6 linked regions of the Xenopus tropicalis genome follow. The protein of the gene in region 1 purifies or fractionates together with the protein of each later gene. This does not show direct contact. Links are inferred from orthologs where the notes say so. Each region holds a gene or a part of one and is shown in the gene's direction. Other genes may lie near its edges.

Region 1 (3,846 bases):
CTGTTTACTGCTTTAGAAAACACAAAGCAAAGTCTCCAAACAAACTTGGTCTAAGTAATCTGTTAAAGGAACAGTAACACCAAAAAATGAAAGAGCTTTAAAGTAATAAAAATATAATGCACTGTTGCCCTGCACTGGTAAAACTGGTGTGTTTGCTACAGTAACACTACTATAATTTATATAATAAGCTGCTGTGTAGCCACGGGGGCAGCCGTTCAAGCTTGGAAAAAGGAGAAAAGGCACAGGTTACATAGCAGATAACAGATAAGTTCTGTAGAATACAATAGTGTTTTATCTGTTATCTGCTATGTGCCTGTGCCTTTTCTCCTTTGAATGGCTGCCTCCATGGCTACATAGCAGCTTATTTATATAAATTATAGTAGACTTTCTGAAGTAAACACACAACTTTTACCAGTGCAGGGCAGCAGCACATTATATTTTAGTTTTATACACTTTCATTTTTTGGTGTTACTATTCCTTTAATCCGATCTAACTGCTTCAGATTGCATGGAAATCTGCTGCTGTAGAGTCAGGCTGCTAAACGAGAAGCAAACCTACCATTTAGCAAGGGCTATACTAATCAGTCTCGGCTAATGAGGTCAAATTCTGGTGGCACTACAAAGTAAGGCCAGAGCTTGCAAATTTAAGGTGCAATGTTTGGTTGACAAAAACAGCAGATCTAAAAAGCATTGCTGTGGAACTGGGGATTTAATAAATCATGTGCTGGAAAGTGGCAGTTTTTTTTTTTCATTTATAGGCTTCAAAGCTTTATTGAATGGCTAGCATTACATAGAAGTATCTTGTCTGTTGTTTGGCACATAGTAGACCAACATCCATGTTGATTACTTACACCTTACTTGACTTGCTGCTACAAATTCCAGCCTACTTTAACATCACGGTATCAAGTGCATTTGGAGCTGTAGTTTAATAATATCATGGTTATATTGTAATCCATCAATGAGAATCCTACCTGCTCATGTTCTTTGTTCCTGCAACTCGAGGTGGAGACTTTGTCACAGAACATCTCAGCAGCAATAATATACAATAATACTGATGACCTCTATTGTTTATTACACTCACACTCTCTCTATAGGTGGCCATACACAGGCTGATTCTAGTTGCCAATATCGGTCCCTTAGACCGATTCGGCAGCTTATTGGCCCGTGTAGGGGCACTAACGACAGGCCTACCCGACCAACATCTGGCCTGGAATCGGGCAGGTTAAAAAATTTAGTCGGATCGGTCCTATTACCATCGTTCTAATTCGTTCGTTCAATCGGCCAAACAACTGGATTTGCTTGATATCGCCCACCTGTTGGTGGGGGATATCGGGAGGAGATCCGCTCACTTGGCGACTTCGCCAAGTAAGCGGATCTTAACGTCTATGGCCACCTTTACTCTCACTGCCGGTCAGTTCCTAAGCTCAGGAAGGGTTTAGCCCCCCACCCAAAGCTATTTGAAGCTTCTCCAGTTTTCCCTCAGTTGCGGTAAAAAATTTCCTTTCTGACACCAAGATGACAATTGGACCAGTTCCTGGATCAACTTGTTGTAAGAGCTATTATCAATAACCCTGTATTTTCTCACTCCACTAATATAACCTACTTGTCATGTTTTTTGTAGAGCCGTTCCTGCCACCAGAGAATGAAATACCTCTTGATTCTACCTTGAATTGTCTCCCACTTTCTCCCTCTAACCTCCTCCTGGACTACCGGGATGCTATGCCGGACTTTCTCCCCAATGACTTCATCAGCCTGTCTCCTGCTTCATCACAGGAGTACAGCTTTGGATTGCAAACCTGCGAGGGTGCTGCAGAACTTTTCAACTTCGACTGTGACTTTAGTGGCCTCACAGCTCTGGATTTGTAAAATAGTGCCTGAATAGGATATTTTTTTTTTTTGTCTAGCACAGAACCTATTACCAATAATCATTCATTGCTGCTCCAGTTCCTAATTGTCTTATAAGGCTATATATTCCTATGGTCCACATTCCTTTTGGAGGTTCATGTTTGTAATGCAAGAAAATCGATTTTGGAGATGTTAATTTGTATTACTAATCAAGCGCCAAAATAAATGTGTGTGTGAGTAATAAATATATATATATATAGTGTAGGTTGTCAGCGCTCAGGTTTTAAGTAATAAAGCAAAAAAGGCAACAAATTGAAAAATCAAGCAGTGAGGTTTATTTCAGTCCTATACAGGGACATTCGTCAGGGATCGAAAGTCCCTGTATAGGACTGAAACATCGGAACAAATAAACCTCACTGCTTGATTTTTCTATTTGTTGCCTTTTTTGCTTTATTACTTAAAACCTATGAGTGCTGACAACCTACACTATATAACCTACACTATATTTGATTCCTCGCTCTGGCACCTAGGTATCGCATTCTTATGGTGTGCTTCCTTTTCCATATATATATATATATATATATATATATATATATATATATATATATATATATATATATATACGCACACACACCTCTCTCCCTACTGCAGAAGATTAAACAAGAAACGAGAGGTTATAGTCTGGTCTTAGCACTTATATTTACCCATATGTGTGTGTGTATGGGGGAAATGATGCATTTTTAAAATGTTTTTCAGAGGGGTTAAGGGCTTGGTGTGGGTGGTGGAGAAAAGTGAGGCTTTAATAATGAACCTTCAAGCAGATGAACTGGTTGCTGATGGCCTAACCACTTCAGTATGTTAGTACGTAAGAGCTCTCAGCACAGACAGTCTTCGTGTCATTCTTTCTCTGAATGAAGAGCTTTGGGCCGCCCCTATTTCTTTTCCCCGCTCTTGGCATTTCCTGTGCATCCTTATAGAGGAAGTAGTATGCATTGTGACACATTTTGTTTTAATTTATTAAATCCCAGCAGCATTGTTGTCCCTTCCTTTAACCTTACGAACACCCCGTGCAAACAGCTTGCTGCCGGTGTTCTATAGTGTTGTGGTTTTATATAATATATAATTTGTTCCCTATGCTGTTTATTATGTTGATCACTTAAGTTACAGATTTTGTATATAAAAATGCACCAGGCTGAAGCTTTTGATTTGGAGTGTACAGCTAAAAAGGTTTAAAGAGTTGGGGGGGATTATTCTGTAAGTTGGTTGTTTGCGTATATTTTTACTTAAAAACTGCCCTTAAAAGTTGTATTTATAAGCGAGTTTATGTAGTAAAGTAAAAGTTAACTTTTTTTTTTTTTCTTCATTTTGTTCCCTTAATTGAGGGCTGTTCTGAATTGAAGAGCAGACGGGATCAGTGTGTTTGATTGAGCTAGCTTAATTTATCAATAAATCTATTTTCATTGCCAATAAAAAAAAACAACTTTTCAGCAAAAAGCGGTTTACAGCAAATCATCTTAAGTTCACATCCTTAATTGTTTTTGTTTCACAGCATTTTTTAATTATTACATTTTATTTAGAAAAGGAAAACAGTGCGAAACACAGAAAAAACAAGATGACGTGACGCCAAGCTATTGACAACCCCCCTCTCACTTGATGCATCTGGTTACATTGTCCCCGACCCCATGTTCTTTTTACCAGAATTATTCCATTGGTGATGTTCATGTGCCCCCAAAATCTTCCAGAATTTCTGTAAAATCTAAATGATATGTATAATCATCGGTGTACTATTAGAAGGCAGGGCCCAATGCAGATACATTTTCCAGGCCCTGGCATTATGGGTGAGGGAGTGGGGGGTTTGGTGGAGGGCAAAAGTGGCTCCCATCTTCCACTGCAGTGTGAAACTTTAAACCTTTCCCATCCCTTTGCTTTCATACTTGGGTCAACGAGCATCTGTGGGGAGCAAATATGGCGCCTGTCTGGCCACCCAGTTGTATGCTAGTTA
Region 2 (3,545 bases), on another chromosome or scaffold:
TTTTTTGAGAGAGGCAGTCAGATACCAAAGAACATGTTTACAAAAAAAGAGACAAGAAATCCTGTGTTTCTTTTGATAGAGGACTTAGTGCAGCTTTTATGTGAGTTCTTATGGCTGTATTTACATAGACCTTTCTGATAAAGCTTACTTAGTTTTTACCTTTCCTTCTCATTTAAAACTCCCTGCTTGCCCTGGACAAATGTGGCTAAATCTGGTGGTTGAGCTGGGAGAGGGTACCCCAGTACAAGGCTATTGCATGTGTGCTGAGGCTTTAGTGACTAGGTAGTAGAGGGAGTGGTCTGGGAGCTGTGCCTATGGAGGGACTGGATGCAAATCTGGCGATAAGGATGTGCCATGAGTTGTTATTCACGAGATCTTTTTAACTGGTACATCCAAGAAAATATTTCATGTAAAGTTTGGGTATGGTGAGGATATACTGTAAAACAAGGTTAATTTTAATTACAATATCCCTTTAAATGATAACCAAAGACCAGTGAATTTTTTTCATGGTTTATTGATGTAACTGGCTCATTTTCTTTGCTCTTGTTTGTTTATTTGCAGAGTATTCTAGAACAAGATGTTTTCCACCGCTCCTTGATGTCTTGCTGCCTTGAAATCACTGTATTTTCCTACAAGCCTCCTGGAAATTTCCCCAGTATAATTGTCATGTTTGAGCTGGCACCATATCAATTTTACAAGGTACTTTTGTAGATAATATCGGTACAATATAAATGTGTAGGTTATTGGTACTTTTCACACTTTTGTTCTTTTGGTTATGAAAACCATATTGATATTTGGGTAGTTAAGTGGAAAGGTTCAATTTCATTGATCCCTTGATTTTTGGGAGACTACTTTCTCTACTTTTTTTTGCATTTGTAGATAAATGTCCCTCTTAGTTTATTTGTTCATCTACCTGTCTGTGTATCTGTCTACCTTTATGTTTGTATTTAGCACCAATAATCCTGTCTTGCTTCCATTTGTTTTGCTGCTGGCCATCTTGGAGTCAGAAAGGAATTTTTACCCCCTCTGAGTCAAATCGGAGAATCTTCAGAAAGGGTCTTTTTTTGCCTTCCTCTTGATCAACTAGTGTTTTGGCAGGTTATATATAGGCACGAAAGGTTAGGCTTATTAGACTTGCGTATTACTATGTTACTATGATGAGAAAAAAAAACAGTGCCATGGCATCCTAAATAATCAGTAAGAACCAAGAATACATTTACTTGGCAGGTTATTGAAGTTGTTATTAAAGCAGAGGAAGGCCTGTGCCGGGAAGTGGTAAAGCATCTTAACAACATTGAGGAACAGATTTTGGAGTGCATGGCATGGACGCATGATTCACCTTTGTGGGACAAGATCAGAGAAAATGATGGAAAGATCCCACTGTGTGAGGAGGTACAGCTCAGAGAATGTGCACATTATTGTTTATATCTTCTTTAGCTAATTACCAAAAAAGGCACAAATTCTGTCTAAGTTGTATGCATGCACTATATTGTAGAAATTTTCCTGCCCTATTAAATATCAAGTGGTTTGCAGCATGTAATTCAAGATGATGACACAACACTAAATGGTTTTGCCGTCAATGGAGACCCTAGTTTTCATAAGACCATAAACTACAACTTATGATGCTTTTCCTGTAGCATAGCAGTCAAATCACTGGGTTTTCTGGGAGTTACCTAGTACAGGTATGGGACCCCTTATCTGGAAACCCGTTATCCAGAAAGTTCCGAATTACGGAAAGGTCATCTCCCATAGACTCCATTATAAGAAAATAATTCTAATTTCCTTTTTCTCTGTAGTAATAAAACAGTACCTTGTACAGGTATCTGACCCCTTATCCAGAGACCCATTATCCAGAAAGCTCAGAATTACGGAAGGCCTGTCTCCCATAGACTCAATTTTAATCAAGTAATTCAGATTTTTTAAAAGATATAATTAACCCTTATTGGATGCAAAACAAATTAATGTTTTATTGGTGTTTCAGTAAACTTAAGGTATAAAGGTCCAAATTACGGAAAGACCCCATATCCGGAATACCCTTGGTCCCGAGCATTCTGGATAATGGGTCCTATACCTGTACTTGATCCTAACTAAGATATAATGATTCCTTATTGGAGGCAAAACAATCCTTATTGGGTTTAAATTATTAAATGATTTCTTAGTAGACTTAAGGCATGAAGATCCAAATTATGGAAAGATCCCTTATCCGGGATCCTAATCCGGGTCCAGAGCATTCTGGATAACAGGTCCTATACTTGTACCTGGTTTCCCAGAAGGGCAAATGCATATATGCAGTGAGCATTCAGGTATGGCAGAGATGTCACCAGGATGAACCCAAGTTTTTAAGTGGTGCTTTTTGCAGGGTGCATAGTATATTATGGGATGCCCATCTAGAATAGAGTCCATTTTAAATAAATAATTCCAATTTAAAAAAGGATTTTTAATTTTATCTGTAATAGTAAAACAGTACCTTGTACTTGATCCTAACTAAGCTGCATAAATCCACATTAGTAGCATGGTGGCAAAACCAAACCTATTGGGTTTACTTAATGTTTAAATGATTTTTAGCAGACTTAAGGTATGGTGTTCCAAAATGACAGAAAACCCCAGGTCCCATGTGTTCCAGATGATATATCCTGTACCTGTATACTTACTTGAAAACACACGGCTCTGTGCCATTTTTCTTGAAAAGTTTAAACTGATATCATAGAGCAGCATAATCTTTTTCAATGATGATGATTATTATTATTATTATTATTATTATTATTATTATTATTATTATTATTATTATTATTATTATTATTATTATTATTATTATTATTATTATTATTATTATTATTAATAATTATTTAATATTTTTTTTGTATCCATGAATTTGTTTGTGTTCTTTTGTTTTAGGTCTTACATCCCCAGCATTTTGAAAAATCTGGTGACAATGGTACCACAGGATCTCTTACTCCAAGAAGAATAAACGAAATACGTGCTGATGCATCAGGTTTAGGAAGGAGTAAGTAAGAAGAGGCTTGACTGTGTGTTACAGTTTATATTTATTATTAGCTGTTTATAGAGCCACATGGCTTTACACATATTATATATGAGTCACATCAGTCCCTGTGCCAGTGGAGCTTACAGTAGTTTATTAATACCCAGTGACACATTATTTTATACTTCAGTAGTAGGTTCAAATAGAGATGCTGGACCTAGACATTTGTGATAACACTCTTATTAGTTGTTTTACGTTATAAACCTATTTTATTATAAAAGATATGCATTTTCATGTAAAAATATGGGGGTTGATGTTCCTAACCAGACAGACATGTCCCATCTTGATTTTGACCAATACTGTCATGGGAAAACATACGTTTTTATCAGTTAAAAGAGCAGAATCCTGCATTGAAATCCATTTTTCAAAAACACAAACAATTTTTTTTTATATTTAATTTAGACATTTCACATCGGGCTAGCCATATTCTTAATTTCCCAGCCATGTGACCTGTGCTCTGACAAACTTCAGTCGCACTTTAATGCTGAGCTGCAAGTTGGAGTGA
Region 3 (3,545 bases), on another chromosome or scaffold:
AGTCGTATAGGCTTTGAGTTTGTTTTTGTTTGTTTTTCTATCCAGCACTATTGCCAAATTGTGTTATAGTTGTGTTTCTCGCTTGTGTGTAAAGGTGGCCATACACGTGGCGATCTGACGATCGGTCGCACGAAACATCGTAAGATCCGCCACACACCATTCAGGGCTGAATCGGCAGGTAAGGAGGTAGAAACAATAGGATTTCTACCTCCTTCTGCCGATTCAGATCTGAAGGGAGAATTTTGGTCAGGCGCCTTCTATGGCGCCCGATCAAAATTTTCCAACTGGTCCGATCGGCGAGTCGACCGATATCAGCAGGTTCCTGCGATATCGGTCGACTCGCCGACATACCATACACGCACCGATTATCGTACGAAACGACGTTTCGTACGATAATATCGGTGCGTGTATGGCCACCTTTAGGCAATCAGCAGAAAGAGGCAACAATGGCTTTATCACCTTATAGTGCTCCCATGCTGTGACTGACAGCCGTATCTGATCCCATTCCCGCTCCCCCCAGCTTCCTGCCCTGTCGCAACCCCTGGGAGCACCATATGCCGGGGTAGTGCTTATACTGCCCGGTGCCCTTTATTTGCTCACTGTTTGGGCTGGGGAAATGCTGAGGCTTTCTGGCTAGTGTGTATCAGCCAGAGGCTTGTTGAACAAGCGGTTCTGAGCGCTTCACCCATGGGCCAATAATTAGCTGAAGTGGTAAGGTGGCAACTTTTCCTCTGAGCGCCAGCAAGCAGGGCAGCAAGGGGCACTGATCATAAGCAAGGGCAACTGCCAAGCTGCAAAAGCCATTGCATGTAGCATGGAACATCAAGATCCTTAGTCTTTATCTGAGGTTGCAGATATTCATTGTCTACCTCTTCCTTTTCAGTCATCTCCTGGGACACATTGCCTGATGAGTTGCTGTTGGGCATCTTTAACTACTTGCATCTCATTGACCTTCTGAGAGCTGCCCGGGTCTGCAAGCGATGGCACCGACTTCTGTAAGTTCCTTTTTATAATGACATTTTATGCATTTACTGTGTGTTTCGTCTGTGCCCTGTAGACCGCTCCATTGGTATCAGTGGCACATAAATGGCTCTCAGTGAGGCCACAAATTCAGAGTATAAAGCACCAGTCTATGGCAGCTTATATACAGTAGCCCCTTTGGCATTTAACAATATCCTGACTGCCAGTCTGGCAGCAATTTAATAGCAGTTGTACCCTGTGACCCCTTAATTTATCTGTCACCTTTCCCCTCTGCCCTCAGAACGGATGAGTCCCTGTGGCACAGCCTGGATCTTACTGGCAAACACTTGGCGGATGGAATCATAGGAAGAGTATTGTCTCTGGGCGTGGTTACATTTCGCTGCCCCAGATCCTGCATGGGCGAGCCAATGTTTACTAAGACTAGGTAAGTGTCCATCATGGATCTTAACATGGCTGCTAAACAGGCCAGTGAATGTGTGCATAGGGAGCACAATTGGGTAGGATTGATTTACCAATTGGGTCGTGGACCGCATCAGCTCATTGATGGAGTCCCCGATCCAATGGGTAAATCAATGCTGCCCGATTGACACCTGGCTGATTTTCGCCAGATATCAGTCAGGGAGGCAATACGTGTGCAGATAAGCTGCTAATTCTGCCTTAATGATCCAAATCAGCAGCTGAAATTTGAATGTGTATGGCCAGCTTTAGAGGGTGTAAAATATTTAGGCTAAGGCAAGGCCAGATGATATGCCATCCAATCAGAGCATTCCTTATAGACACTTACTGCCGGCTAAATGCCCAGTTGAAAGCAACAATGACAGTCATGTGCGACCTACGTTGTTGCAGTAAGTGGCTTCTAACAATAATGATCTTGGGTGTAAACCCCCACATACTCTCTGCACTCCAGTTCCTTCTGCTTTTTGTCCATTGTAACATCTTTTCTATAAATACAGTTACCCCCAGGCCCAGCACCATTTAGAGGCCTAATAAATCCTTATGGGTAAATATTTATTATTTTCTATTTATTTTTTGAGGAATAAGTTATTCCCACATTTCCCCTTTCTTTTTCCACCGGCGCCCCTCACATAAGGGGGAAGGATGCATAAGGGAAAAGATACTGTGTCTTCCATAATAATAATCTGTTCTAGACCAACATACTTCTTCCTCGAACATTGCCCATAGACTACAGTGAAACAGCGCACCCCAGTGGCCAGTGCATCTTTAAATATGGAGAATACTGTTTTATCCTTGCCAAGCAAATACCATTAGAACAAGGTGGCTTTTAGATATGGGATCTCCATTGTTCCCTCATCCCGAACATTTAATAATAAAATCTCATTGGTTGGTATAATGGTCCCCTTTATCTCTTTTTTTTTTTAGACATTTGCGCCTGCTCCACATGGACCTTTCTAACAGTACAGTCAGCGTGGGTGCTCTTCAGAGTATCCTCTCCCGCTGTCACAAACTGCAGAACCTGAGCTTGGAGGGACTGGTATTGTCCGACGATATAACCCGGTAAGGCAGTATTACAGCTATGTGTTATGGTTAGTGCTAGAACCACCGCCTTAAGGTTTCCTCCTCCGGTGGAAGTGTAGCAGGATAAATGTATCTGCTATACAGGTTAATGTTACAGTTTTATAGGGTAATGGAATAAAAGTTGCACAACTATAAAAAAAAAATAATGATTTGCCTTCCTCTTCTGGCTCTTTCCAGCTTTCTAATGGGGGGGTCACTGACCCTGGCAGCCATAAACTATTGCTCTGTGAGGCTACAATAATATTGTTATAACTTATCTTTCTATGCAGACCCTCTACTATTCATATTCCCATCTCTTGTTTTAACTACTGCCAGGTTGCTAGGGTAAATAAGACTAGCTGAACAAAAAGCCAAATAAAAACCATAAAATAAAAAATGAAGACCAATTGCACATTTATGCAGAATATCAATGTCTACATTATATTAAAAGTGAATTTAAAGGTAAAGTACCCCTTTTAGCAAAGCCATAGAAACAATTACAAAAAATATAGACATATGGCCCTTTAATATAGTTTGCTCCAGGTATGTATCCGGTAGAGATTATGGCCCAGTAACATATTTTTGGCTGGCAGTTGCACTCATGTTTCCAAATATGTACCGGCGCTGCAACTCACCGTCATTTCTTATTTCAGCTCCATTTCCCAGAATGAAGATCTCATCCGATTAAACCTTGGCGGCTGCTCAGGGTTCAGTTCAGAATCACTGAAGGAAATGCTAACCAACTGTTCCAGGTAAGGTTTGTTTAAAGGAAACTATACCCCCTGAATGAATGCTTAATCAACAGATAATTTTTACTATGTTAAGTGGCCTATTAAAGAAACTCGCCAAACTGATATATATATATCAGTAAATATTGCCCTTTTACATCCTTTCCCCTGAGCCGCCATTTAGTGATGGGCTGTGTGCCCCCTCAGAGATCAGCTGACAGGAAATAATGCAGCTCTAACTGTAACAGGAAGTAGTGTGGGAGTAAAAGGCAGAACTCTGCCCATTCATTGGCTGATGGGGCCTAGCGTGTATGTGTGCCT
Region 4 (4,099 bases), on another chromosome or scaffold:
GTTTTGATCCTGACGGCCCTTCCGAAAACTGGGCTGTCTGGGTCAAATAAATGACAGATGGCAACCCTGACAGCCTCTGATGCCACCGTAAAAAAAACAAAAAACAGCCTATGGGCCATGGCAGACAGGGAGATTAGTCGCCACGTGACAAATCTCCCTTGTAGCGGCTGACTAATCTCCCCGAAATGCCATTCCACTGGCAAGAATGTAAATTTATTTGCAGCGCCGTATATGCCATCCCACTGGCGATATACATTCTTGCCAGTGGGATGGCATTTTGGGCAGATTAGTTGCCATGCCCCTAAAACTCTTTCCGTAAATTTTATTGTCTCAGCCTTTGTTTACAAAACACCATGTGACCCTCATAAATAAATTTGCCACCTCATGTCAGAAATACTACTGTAAATACCCTGTAGTCTGCTGACATGAGTAATGGCCAAGAAAGCATATTTAAAGTATGATAGGAAATTTCCCTATTTCCTGGCCACCTCATGTCTGCAATACTACAGGGGTATTTACGCTTACATGTGTAGCAGCCAGGAAAAGAAATTTACGGTAAGTATGATAGGAAATTCCCCCTTTTCACCATGCCCTAGTAAACAAAACCTCTCTCCTTGTGGGTCAAATGGGGAGAAGGAAAATAAAACCTCTTTATTTTGTTCCCTGGCACAGGAAAAATCTAAATGACTGCAGGTGTAATATTGGGAGTTAAAGCTCTAGTGGCAGCAGGCATAGCTCTATGGCTTGGAATTTCAAATGTCACCTGGTTGCTAGGGCTTAACTACCCTAACAACCAGGAAGTGGTTACACAGCTAGAATGACAAGCAAATAAAGAATACGAGCAGCAATTAAATGGAATCTTCATAGGCAATGAGTTTTTTTGTTTTTATTATTGGAGCAGTTAACCCCCAACAAATTGCATTTTCAGCTGTGGAAAATTCCCTTTTACGCCGTGCCCTAGTAAACAAAACCTTTCCTTGACGGTCAAATGGGGAGAATGAAAAAAAAAGTCTCTTTATTTAGTTCCCTGGCACAGGAAAAATCTGACTGATATTGGGAGCTAAAGCTCTAGTGGCGGCAGGAATATCTGGCAACTTGACACAAACACAAACTACCGCGAATTGTTACTAGCAGATACTGAATGTGAGGTACGCCGTGTCTGCACGCCACGCCCCCAAGGCGGCTACGTGCCGCGTCACTGCCTTTACGTCTAGTTGTGACGCCTCAGTCTCGCGTGATGAGACTTGTGGCGACGGGATTTCCCGTGAGACAGGAGAGAATTTGCTTGCTGTTACCGGCATTGTGTAAGTAGCGATTCGGTACTACGGGCCGTGTTAAGGAAATCGGGACTGCGGGACTCTTGGGCAGTATGTACATGTTTTAGTTGTTCAGCCGCTGACCATTAAGAGAAGCATAGGAGTTGGTTCGGGTGAGAACTGCACACTCATCCTGCCGGCATTGTGAAGCAATGGCCTTTGCGTTGGGCCCCACAGCATTACAGGGCTCTTTTTGGTGCCAATATAGCATCAGCTTCTGATATGATACAGACAGCAGTATCCCAAGGCTGGTTGCAGTTGGTCTTTTGTTTTAGGAGTTTTTAATAATTTGTTGGGTATTTGGTTGTTCCTGAAGCTCTATGGCTTGGAATTTTCAAATGTCATCTGGTTGCTAGGGCTTAACTACCCTAGCAACCAGGACGCCATTACACAGCCAGAATGAAAGATGAATAGAAAGACAAGCAAGTGAAGAATATGTGCAGCAATTCAATGGAATCTTCATAGGCAATGTGTTTTTTTTGTTTTTATTACTGGAGCAGTTAACCCCCAACAAATAGCATTTTCAGCTGTGGGCTAAAAGAGGCAGAATCGACATTCCAACTTTTTCAAAGTGACACTGAATAGGTAATACAAACCAGTTGAATCTGTTCATTCAAACAGTATGAATAAATGCCATTTCTATATGCTGAAATCCAGCTGCAAAACAGTTCTTCTCTTTCTGCATCATTTGAAATCCTGGCAGGGGAGGAGGGACTAAAACACTGATGTTACAAATTGTAACAACTTGTCCACAGCCTACAGACAGCATTCAGGAACTACATAACCCACAATGCATTGCACTGTGATGTTCCTTTCCTTATTGACATCACGTGTGCAGGGAATTATGGGATTGGGAGGATGCAGGCTGGGGACAGGCGACTACTGTTACATTTTATTTGAGTCACAAAGTAGTCAGCCAGATCAGCAGGGGAACAGGGGGCGGGGCTTAGGGAACTGTTCCAAACCATATTATTACATTAAAAATCATGAAAAGGCTGCATATTTTTTAACTGATATATATTGCGAAGTTGCTTGAAATTATGTTTACTTTTCAAAAAGCATTTGTGTTTGGGTGGAGTTCCCCTTTAACTTCAGATGTGGCCAGTTATACATTCCTCACCTTCACTGCTTTTCCATTTTGAATTCCGGTCTCGCGCCCTTTGCAACTTCTTGGGCCTTTCCACCTGTGACTTTAGTCCTGCATCCCCATTCAGAACTTCACACAGAGGGACTGACACAAAATCTACCACAGTCAAGAAAATGGAGCAGGCTCATAGGGGCCAGTCTGGGGCAATTTACGTTTAGAGAGCCATACCTTATTTTTATGGTGTCTTCTTGAGTGAAGTCAACATTTTTTTTTTTTTTTTAATTTGTGCTATCTCTATTCCCAATTTTAACTGTATGTACATGTTATTCTTGTATATGAAATGCATTGCCATTGAGAATGTTGTGTCATTGTGATGTGTTGGTCTACTGTCCCCATGATCTCAGTTAAAGGAGAAGGAAAGCCTAAATCACTTGGGGGTGCCAAAATGTTAGGCACCCCCAAGTGACTTTAATCGCTTACCTTGTACCCCGGGCTTGTGCTCCTGTTGGGAGAGAACAGCACCAGCCCGGGGTACTTGTAGCGCTTCCTCCTTCCGCGTTGGCACATTGCGCATTAGAGTGAAAAGCCGAACAAAGTCGACTTTTCACTCTACTGCGCATGCGCCGGGCCAGGGATTTCGCCGCAGAAGAAACGTGGTATACTGCTTCCCCGGGCTGGTGCTGTTTTCTCCTAACAGGGGCACCAGCCCAGGGTACGAGGTAAGTGATTAAAGTCACTTGGGGGTGCCTAACATTTTGGCACCCCCAAGTGACTTAGCCTTTCCTTCTCCTTTAAAGGGAAGGAAAGGCTAAGTCACTGGTGGGGTGCCAAATATTATGTATTGTAATTGCTTACCTAATACCCCTGGACTGTGCCCCTGTTAGGAGAAAACTGCACCCGGAAGGGGTATAAGCTTGTGTTTCTCTTCCCCGGGCTGGTACAGTTTTCTCCTAACAGGTAGAAGTGATTACAATCACTAGGGGAGGGGGGTGTGCCTAACCCTAACATTTTGGCACCAGTAATTGTAACTTTCCTTCTCCTTTTAAGCTGGGTATGTGACCAGATATTGATGAACAGTTTTCATCCAACATGGGTGCCGCATGCCTGTGTTTAGGGGTTCAAACAAGCTGAACTGTGATCAGAGGTTGCATTAAATTTTAAATACTGTGATACAACATTGGCCTACCAACTTTTGCAGCCAAATTGGCTAATCTGCCATTTCAATTCTCAGACTGAATGGGCTAATTCAGGGGACCCCAACCTTTTCTACCTGTTAGCTATATTCAAATGTAAAAAGAGTTGGGGAGCAATGCAAGCATGTAAAAACTTAATGGGGGTGCCAAAAAAGGGCTGCAATTGGCTATTTGGTAGCCCCTATGTGGACTGGCAGCCTACAGGAGGCTCTGTTTGGCAGTACACCTGGTTGTTTATGCAACAAAACTTGCCTCCAAACCTGGATTTCAATAATAAGACCCTGCTTTGAGGCCACTGGGAGCAACATCCAAGGGGTTGGTGAGCAACATGTTGCTCCTGAGCCACTGATTAGGGATCACTGGGCTAATTGGTCGATTGCTACTTTCCTGCAGGGAAAAGCAGCGTCTCTAAAAGTAAACCCTCTGGGCCCTGTCACACTGGCAGGAAATCTTGATTTTGTGACCACATGCCTAGCTACAGTGGCCTATATGCTTTTAAGGTG
Region 5 (3,545 bases), on another chromosome or scaffold:
AATTATGATAGTTGTAAGGCCTCTTTATTACTTACATTAGACAAGCAGGTATGTTGGACACAGATGTCTAACCCTGTATTATGGGACTACTAAAAGGCAAATTTTCTGTTCAGGACATACACCATATTGTGGTGCACACAAATAATTTTGTACTAATTTTAGCCACCCACTTTTCCTCTTTTGTTTGCGGGTACATACCTCCCTACATTTGAAAAATGCAAAGAGGGACAACATTTTTGACCACGCCCATTTTTGCAACCACACCTCCTAAAATACCACTCCCATTTTACAAAATATAGCAGGTTATTTAAAGTTTGAACACATTTCTGGGGGTTTGGGGGTCTTGTTGTGTTTTGCAAAAAAAAACAAAAAACCTGTTTAGCTTATTAGTTACAATTGTATCTAAGTGCATGTGTAGCTTCTTAACTTTTCTGGGCTTTCTGCCAAAAGCTACTTTTTTAATTAAGTTTGAGAAAGATTGTATCTTTTTTAGCTTGAGGGACTTTTTAGAAAGAATCTGGGACTGCGGGCTAAGCTGTCAAAATTGGGACTGTCTTTTGAAAATCGGGACAGTTGGGAGGCATGGCCCGACTATAAGGAAATTGTGGGTAATGCTGGCTCTCATGTTAGGGTATGTCAGAATAAGTTCAGCTCAGTGCACCATGGGTAGTTTTTTCTAAACCACAACTGTTGTTAAATACTACAGCTCAATACAAAACAGTTGCCAACTTGTTTGGAAGTAAAAACAGGGAATGAAATTATAGCTGAAGAGAGCATTATTTTATAGTCATGTGTGGGTTTAGAGTTACATTTTATTCTATTGCTGAAATGTATCTTACCAACTAAGAATAAAGCATGTACATACTTCTTCTATTCAGCTTTTGAGGAAGTGTATCCTGCAAATGGTGAAACCTGCAGTGGAAGGATCATTGGGTTCCCCTCCATTTGAGAAGCCTAGTATTGAGCAGGTAATGGGGATCTGACATCTTTTCCTACCTACCTTAGTTTTTTAATGTATGTATATTTGTATTTCTTTTTGTACTTATCAAAGTTCCAGGCTGTTAATCAGTGTCTAATTGTTTATTCCTTAGAAAGTGGTGTTTTCTTAACAAGGCAACTTTTGGAAATCTTGGGCTGTAGAGGGATGTATATCACTGATATTATTTTTTAGTTATAAAATGTCCTTTTCATAGCAACTTTGGTCTTTATTATTATTTTTTTGTTATAGATTTTGAATTATTTGCCATTTTGTTCTCTATCTTTCCAGCTTTCAATGGGGGGGGGGGGGGGGGGGTGGGTCACTGACCCCGACAGCCAAAAAACTGTTGTTCTGTGAACTTACAATTTTATTATTTTTGTTACTTTTTATTACGTAATTTTCTATTCAGTCCCTCTCCAAAACATATTTCAGTCTCTCATTCAAATTGTCTGGTTGCTATGGTAAACAGGACCCTAGAAAACAGCTGCTAAATTCCAAATAACTGATAAACCAAAAGGAAACAAAATTAAAAAACAAGTGCAAATTATCTTATAATATCATGTCTACATCATACAAAAGTTAATTTAAAGGTGGACAACCCCTTTAGTGAGCAGTGACTACATTGGGAACACTCTTGTCCTTACATTACATATTCGTGTTTTTGGACCTTTTGCGATATAAACACATAACCAATGGCAAATCTGCAAAATCCTACATTATTCTCTTTTAGTAGATATAATAATGTGTGTTGCTTTAGAAGAAAAAATCCAAAATTTTCTGACAATGCTTTTTATGTCATTATAACCTTATTCTTCTAGAATGATAGTGGGAAGAATTCCTAGTTCTAGGTCACTAAAGTGTTTAAAGGGCAAATATAACTACCATCTCTCATTCATTTATTTTCTTTATAGTCAATTTAACCTAAGTGTGCTGACTGAGAACCCATTCTCTGCATTCTGCACCACACTATGAAGCTACCACATGCCATGCACAATAATTTAACAATGTACAGTAATGACCAGTTTTCAGTATTGGCTTATTAAAGCCTAAAGGTGGCCATACATGGGCCGATTTTAGGTGCTGATATCAGTCCTTTAGACCAATTTGGGGACCGAATTGGCTAGTTGATGCGCTTCCCGAACCAACGTCGCCTATGCCTGCCGTTTTAATTAATTGAATTACCCCGATATCGCCCACCTGTAGATCTTACAGTGTATGGCCACCTTTACTGGGGCATCAGTATCTGGATGGCAGCCTTAATTGTAGCCAAGCAGAACTGAGCTGATCAGCAGCAAGTAACAGAGTCTGTATTACAGAGCAAATTACTTTCTACACTGCTCACGTTTTTTTCAGGCAGGGGTCAAGAAAACAAAATCTGTGTTATCTTCTTTCTAGGTAGTCTGAAAACATGAAGACTATATTCACTGTGCATCTCTGTATTTACTTTCTTTAAAGGGTGTAAATAATTTTGTACAGTACAAGTTCAGCCATTTGCCTTCCAAAGAAAGACAGACTATCATAGAGCTGGCTAAAATGTTCCTGAATCGCATCAACTACTGGCATTTGGAAACTCCCTCCCAGCGAAGACTAAGGTCACCAAATGATGATATTGCTGGATATAAGGAGAACTATACAAGGTACACTCTTCTTAATGCAATAGTAATGGGTATCTATTGCTGTTGTGTTGCATGCAATCTCTATGATTTGTGGATGTGCATCGTTTGTCGGCTTTGTGAAACTGAAAGACTGCAACAGAAAATCTGAAGTGGTTTGAACTGGCTGCCTGAGTAAAAGACCAAATTATTATTTCATGTGACCTAATTGTGGATTGTTGCTTGCGGGGTGTTGCCATATTTATTAAAGTGGCAAGGCCAAGGGCTTACACTCTATACACAATATTTCAAGGCAAGTACTTCCCTCTATCAAGTTCTTATCTATTCTTGCTATTCTGGCTGTCTTATGCCACACTAAATGACTGAGCATAGAGCCCTGGACAGGTGAAGAGGAGTCACACAGCCTACACTTAACAACAGCTAGAACTGAAACAAAGAAATTGCTCTTTGTAATGAACAAATAGCATAGACCTGGTATAGGATTCTAATCTTTTGACTGAAAGTTTACTTGCTGGTAGGGCAATGGCTCATGGGGAGATTAGTTGCCTGCGGTTAATCTCGGCTACCGTGGGTGACTAATTTCCCTGAAATACCTTTCCACAGGCAATAAAGTAAAATTTCCTGCAAGAGGAAACTTTAAGCGACCTCAGAAAACAAAGCGATATGTATGCCTTCTCGCCGGCGATTCACTTTATATTTGGTGGGAAGGCATTTTAGGAAGATTAGTCGCCTGCAGTAGCTGAGATTTAACTGATCTAACTAATCTCCCCATGGTCCATCAGCCTTAGCTTTTTTATGCTTATTTATCAGTGCCTTAATTACAATAAAACTTGTATTAATTTATAGTAATCTCAATGACCATAGGGAGGGGGTGCAATAATGTTAAAGTTTTAAAGGTATAAAGGTATAAACTATTTTATATGTTAGAAAAATTGAACACGCACAATAAAAAC
Region 6 (4,182 bases), on another chromosome or scaffold:
GGAGGAGGCATATGGAATTTAAGGGTATATCTTAATATGACATAATTCTTTCACATATGAATGATGGTTGATATCCCCACAGTAAGCACCAAGCATTTGGGATTTTGCTGTGCTACCACCATTGTGATAAAATGTGTGTGGTTTGAAGTGGGTGTGGTTTCAAAAAGGGGAGTGGTCAAAACTGGCTTCCATTAGCGGCCCTCCACCACGTATGCTAGAGAAATTCCGGCCCTCGGCACTGCAGCACTGCTCTATAGCCATTCTAGTTGTTCATATTCTGTTTTAGGGCTCTGGCACACGGGGGAGATTAGTCGCCCGCGATAAAACTCCCTGTTCGCGGGCGACTAATCTCCCCGAGTTGCCTACCCCTGCCATCCCACTCGCGAGTCTTTTTCGGCGATTCCCTGAAATTGCCCCGCTGCGTCTGCCATCCCACCGGCGACTTACATGTTCGCCGGTGGGATGGCAGGGGTAGGCAACTCGGGGAGATTAGTCGCCCGCGAACAGGGAGTTTTATCGCGGGCGACTAATCTCCCCCGTGTGCCAGAGCCCTTAGGGTGAAGACACACAGAGCTACTAGTAGCAGCTACTTGTAGTGGCTACTAAATTAGACAATGCTGATCATTTACTGATAACCGTCTCTATGTGTTTTTTTTGGCAATTCTCAGTATTGTCTATGGCAGGGGATTCTCTGGAGTTTAGTAACCTTGAAAAAGTAGCTGCTACTAGTAGCTCCATGTGTCTTTCCCCTTAGGGCAGGGACACATGGTGAGATTAGTGACAAATCTCCCTTGTCGCGGGCGACTAATCTCCCCGCAATGCCATCCCACTGGCTACAATTTAAATCGCTGGTGGGGTGGCATACAATGCGCAGCAATTTGCCAAAGTCGCCCCAAGTTTCCTCTTAAGGCAATTTCGGCAAATTACATCCACAAATGTGTTATGCACAGAGCTTCTAAAAATGATGCTTAAGCCAAATATTATTAACCTACACTGATTAATGACGCCAAAATGGTTTCAGCATCTCCCCAGTTCTTTTCCCCCTAGACATGAGACAACTTCAAGAGAAAGTTTTTACACGGACTATAAAAAATGCCCCTCTCCTTTGGCTTTTGTATCTGCTAACAGGCTTTGCGGGCTTGACAATCACCACACCAACACACCCCTGAAAATGACACTTTATTGCCGATTTCGCTTTCCAACACCCTCTCCGTTCGTTGTGGCGGTGCCAGCGCATCCCCAGGTACCATGCGAGTGGCTAGTTTGTTATTGTACACGTCACACGGCCGGGGAACCAATAGGAAACGGTGTATCACGTGGTTCGCTGCGCTCCATCGTACAGCTGATGGGCGACTCCTTCTCTGGCAGTGGGAAGATGGCGGACTCAGATCGTGTAGGTTTTCCCATTGCCGGCGCTGTGTTAGCTGTCTCAAAAGAAAATGGCGAGCCCCTTTCCAAAAGGCAGCGCTTGGAAGATACCGGCGGGGGTGGGAGCCAGCTTGTGGGGGCTGAAAGCGAGGGAAAAGCGGCATTGCCGCCTATAGCTGCTTCTCTCCAGGAGGAAGGCGAGGCCTCTTCGGCAATGGAAAGCAAATCCAGAGCGCACAATGGCTCGGGCTTTCAGGGCCTTCCTTTGGGAACGTATTTGGTACAAGGCCAGGAGGAGGGCGGAGCCGAGGAGATGCCCAATGGAGACCTGTCGGATCAGGCTGTTGATTACGGAGGTTGGTTCCCTTTAACTCTTTCCCTACTAACAGCGGCATTGGGCGGGGCATATTCTGTAGGTGTTTGGAGGTTCTTCAGTGCAGTAATGTGGGCGATTCAGCGCATCAGTGGGTATAGAGTGCTACTCCTCTCTCCCTTCCATTTGCTAATACTGACCCATACAAATGAAGGTGCTTTTGCCAAGTTTGAACATATATTCCATTTAAAAACATTAGCAATGGTATATGTGAGTGAGTTATTATTAACATTTATTTATAAAGCGCCAACATATTCCGCAGCGCTGTACAACAAGTGGGTTTCATACATTGGACATACAGAGTAACATATAAAGCAATCAATAACTGATACAACAGGTGAAGAGAGCCCTGCCCAAGAAAGCTTAAAAGTTATGCTTACACCCTATAGTTGGGCCGCTGCTCCTTTGTAGAAAAAAATGCACCAGCCCAGGGTAAAATCTTCACTTACCTTCTCTTTGGAATCCCTACAGCAGGCAAGTCAAAGAGCTTTACTCAACTACACATGTACAAACCCAGGCTGTGAATGGCTTGGATGTGGCTAAAATGTAGGCACATCACTACTTTTCTTCCCTTCAGGGCATTTTTCCCAAAAGGGAGGCTATTGCCTTCTCTTGGCCTTAACTATCTACACATAGGCTGTATAGAGCTCATTAACTGTCCTTGTACTGGTAGGATAAAGAAACTTAAGGGTCCTTCCTGAAGGAAATTTCAGCCTCCCCAAAACAGCTCCTTAACTGGCCTCTTTTAGCCCCACAAAGTTACATTTAAAAGTGTCCATGTGTGTGAACCTGCCATTAAATGCAGAGTAACGGGAGTCACAGTCATCACTTTTTGTATCCTCACTTTGCTGACACAGAGCCTGAGGGACATGCATAGTTAAAGCTGATCCCAGAGTAGCTCCAACTGCTCAGGTTCTGAAGAAGTGCAAGGAGGTTCTGTGAAGTGCAAGGATGCATCTAATACAGGATTCGGCCATTTTCAGCAAGATTCTGAAGATTGCATAAGCAAATTAGGATTCGGTTCCGTATTCGGCCGAATCTTTTGCAAAGGATTCAGGGTTTGGCCGGATCCTAAAAATTGTGGATTTGTTGCATGAAGAGGATCTGAAGAAACAGAAGATGGCACCTATGATCTCCTCTACGGTACTCTGCATTTTTATGGAGGTTTCACAACAGTGCAGGTCGACCTAAAACCTGCATAACCCAGGGGTTGCAATTTGTGGGTGGTGAGCCAAGTTCACTGCCACTCCCTGATCTGTCTCTGTGCTTTTCCAGCCTCCATACTACTGGGGCAGCACTTTAGCTGGCCATACACAGGTATTTCAGCTTCCGATTCGGGTCCTTCAGGCCTACACGACTGACAGTCTTAAATTGTCCAGATCTCGATGGGACAGGTGTGGTTTTCTGATTGGGGATGCATTGTCTGACAGCACCTATGACCAGCGGGTGAAGATCTGCTCATTTTGTGATCTTTTTTAGCATAATTGTCCATGTGGAATGGGAGCAGGGAGTTGGCTAATGGAGGCTAGTTGAGGGTGCTAGGGTTTGGGGGAATGAGTTCCCATTATCAGCACTGCACACAGGGCAGTTCCCATTGTTTTTTGCTCACAATGAGTAACAACTCAGGAGGTGTGGACGAAACATTTAAAATTTCCACTAGTGATGTGTAAATCAACTGTCCTCTGGTCAGGTGAGTTTGGGTTGCTGGTTCTGGTGGGTCCAGGTGCTGGTATTGTTATACCTACCATCATCTTTTTCTGTGAGCCTCCACCTTGGTGACGTCACTAACAGATTGAGTTCCAGGAAAAAGTGTATTTTGTGACCCCACTCATCACTCATTTACACCCTTTCACTGAGAGTGATTATTAAATTGTTACAAAATGTGTTATCTTTGCCACAAAGACAAAAATGTACTTGTGTATTGGATAGAAAACGTTGTTCTTGGTGCAGTCTTTGTTTCAGAAAATGCCTTGTTTTAAACCCCTTGGCTGAATTCTTTTACAGCGGGTATCCATCTGGATGATGATCTTGCTGGTGGCTTTCATTCTTGTGACAGTGAAGATGATGATGGTGCATCTCATGCCAGCTCAAGTGATTGGGCACCCAGGCCCTGTATAGGTAAAGATGCCTATTTTTGTTATAGGCCTAGTTGTGCCTAGTAGAAAGAAATAACCATGCTAGCAAAATCTTTAGTTTATAACAGAATTATCCTTACTATATTAGAAAAAATTAGTTTGAGTTTGATAAATTTATAGCATTCTCCTCTTACAGCCTTACCAATGGACATTAGACAATAAATACACAAATTTTTTTTATGTTGGACACTTGTGGTGACCTCCACTGAGACCTTTCTTATTAGGGCTTCATAAATTAACTGGTACAGAATCCCTGCTACAAAACATTCTGCTGATAGCTTTCTGACCATCTTGTGGTCTTGTTTT

The links.
Region 2: the proteins of e2f1 (region 1) and rbl2 purify together in Homo sapiens (affinity purification with western blotting; 3 studies listed by BioGRID and IntAct, with this or other methods). This does not show direct contact. The link is inferred for Xenopus tropicalis from reciprocal best matches to the Homo sapiens genes E2F1 and RBL2.
Region 3: the proteins of e2f1 (region 1) and skp2 purify together in Homo sapiens (affinity purification with western blotting; 6 studies listed by BioGRID). This does not show direct contact. The link is inferred for Xenopus tropicalis from reciprocal best matches to the Homo sapiens genes E2F1 and SKP2.
Region 4: the proteins of e2f1 (region 1) and psmd14 purify together in Homo sapiens (affinity purification with western blotting; 3 studies listed by BioGRID). This does not show direct contact. The link is inferred for Xenopus tropicalis from reciprocal best matches to the Homo sapiens genes E2F1 and PSMD14.
Region 5: the proteins of e2f1 (region 1) and kat2b purify together in Homo sapiens (affinity purification with western blotting; 5 studies listed by BioGRID and IntAct, with this or other methods). This does not show direct contact. The link is inferred for Xenopus tropicalis from reciprocal best matches to the Homo sapiens genes E2F1 and KAT2B.
Region 6: the proteins of e2f1 (region 1) and sirt1 purify together in Homo sapiens (affinity purification with western blotting; 3 studies listed by BioGRID and IntAct, with this or other methods). This does not show direct contact. The link is inferred for Xenopus tropicalis from reciprocal best matches to the Homo sapiens genes E2F1 and SIRT1.

The regions. Positions count from the first base shown.
Region 1 is NC_030686.2:41,701,436-41,705,281, forward strand, and holds the end of e2f1 (transcription factor E2F1), read left to right. Parts: intron 1-1,620; coding exon 1,621-1,865; 3' UTR 1,866-3,338; downstream 3,339-3,846. UniProt on the Homo sapiens protein: Transcription activator that binds DNA cooperatively with DP proteins through the E2 recognition site, 5'-TTTC[CG]CGC-3' found in the promoter region of a number of genes whose products are involved in cell cycle regulation or in DNA replication.
Region 2 is NC_030680.2:49,421,769-49,425,313, reverse strand, and holds part of rbl2 (retinoblastoma-like protein 2), read left to right. Parts: intron 1-561; coding exon 562-699; intron 700-1,227; coding exon 1,228-1,392; intron 1,393-2,895; coding exon 2,896-3,004; intron 3,005-3,545. UniProt on the Homo sapiens protein: Key regulator of entry into cell division. Directly involved in heterochromatin formation by maintaining overall chromatin structure and, in particular, that of constitutive heterochromatin by stabilizing histone methylation.
Region 3 is NC_030677.2:198,008,185-198,011,729, forward strand, and holds part of skp2 (S-phase kinase-associated protein 2), read left to right. Parts: intron 1-883; coding exon 884-995; intron 996-1,261; coding exon 1,262-1,405; intron 1,406-2,361; coding exon 2,362-2,496; intron 2,497-3,149; coding exon 3,150-3,248; intron 3,249-3,545. UniProt on the Homo sapiens protein: Substrate recognition component of a SCF (SKP1-CUL1-F-box protein) E3 ubiquitin-protein ligase complex which mediates the ubiquitination and subsequent proteasomal degradation of target proteins involved in cell cycle progression, signal transduction and transcription.
Region 4 is NC_030685.2:72,340,097-72,344,195, reverse strand, and holds the start of psmd14 (26S proteasome non-ATPase regulatory subunit 14), read left to right. Parts: upstream 1-1,275; 5' UTR 1,276-1,304; intron 1,305-1,330; exon of another isoform or gene 1,331-1,367; intron 1,368-4,099.
Region 5 is NC_030682.2:45,629,679-45,633,223, forward strand, and holds part of kat2b (histone acetyltransferase KAT2B), read left to right. Parts: intron 1-878; coding exon 879-968; intron 969-2,434; coding exon 2,435-2,616; intron 2,617-3,545. UniProt on the Homo sapiens protein: Functions as a histone acetyltransferase (HAT) to promote transcriptional activation. Has significant histone acetyltransferase activity with core histones (H3 and H4), and also with nucleosome core particles.
Region 6 is NC_030683.2:38,239,837-38,244,018, forward strand, and holds the start of sirt1 (NAD-dependent protein deacetylase sirtuin-1), read left to right. Parts: upstream 1-1,375; coding exon 1,376-1,724; intron 1,725-3,745; coding exon of another isoform or gene 3,746-3,859; intron 3,860-4,182. UniProt on the Homo sapiens protein: NAD-dependent protein deacetylase that links transcriptional regulation directly to intracellular energetics and participates in the coordination of several separated cellular functions such as cell cycle, response to DNA damage, metabolism, apoptosis and autophagy.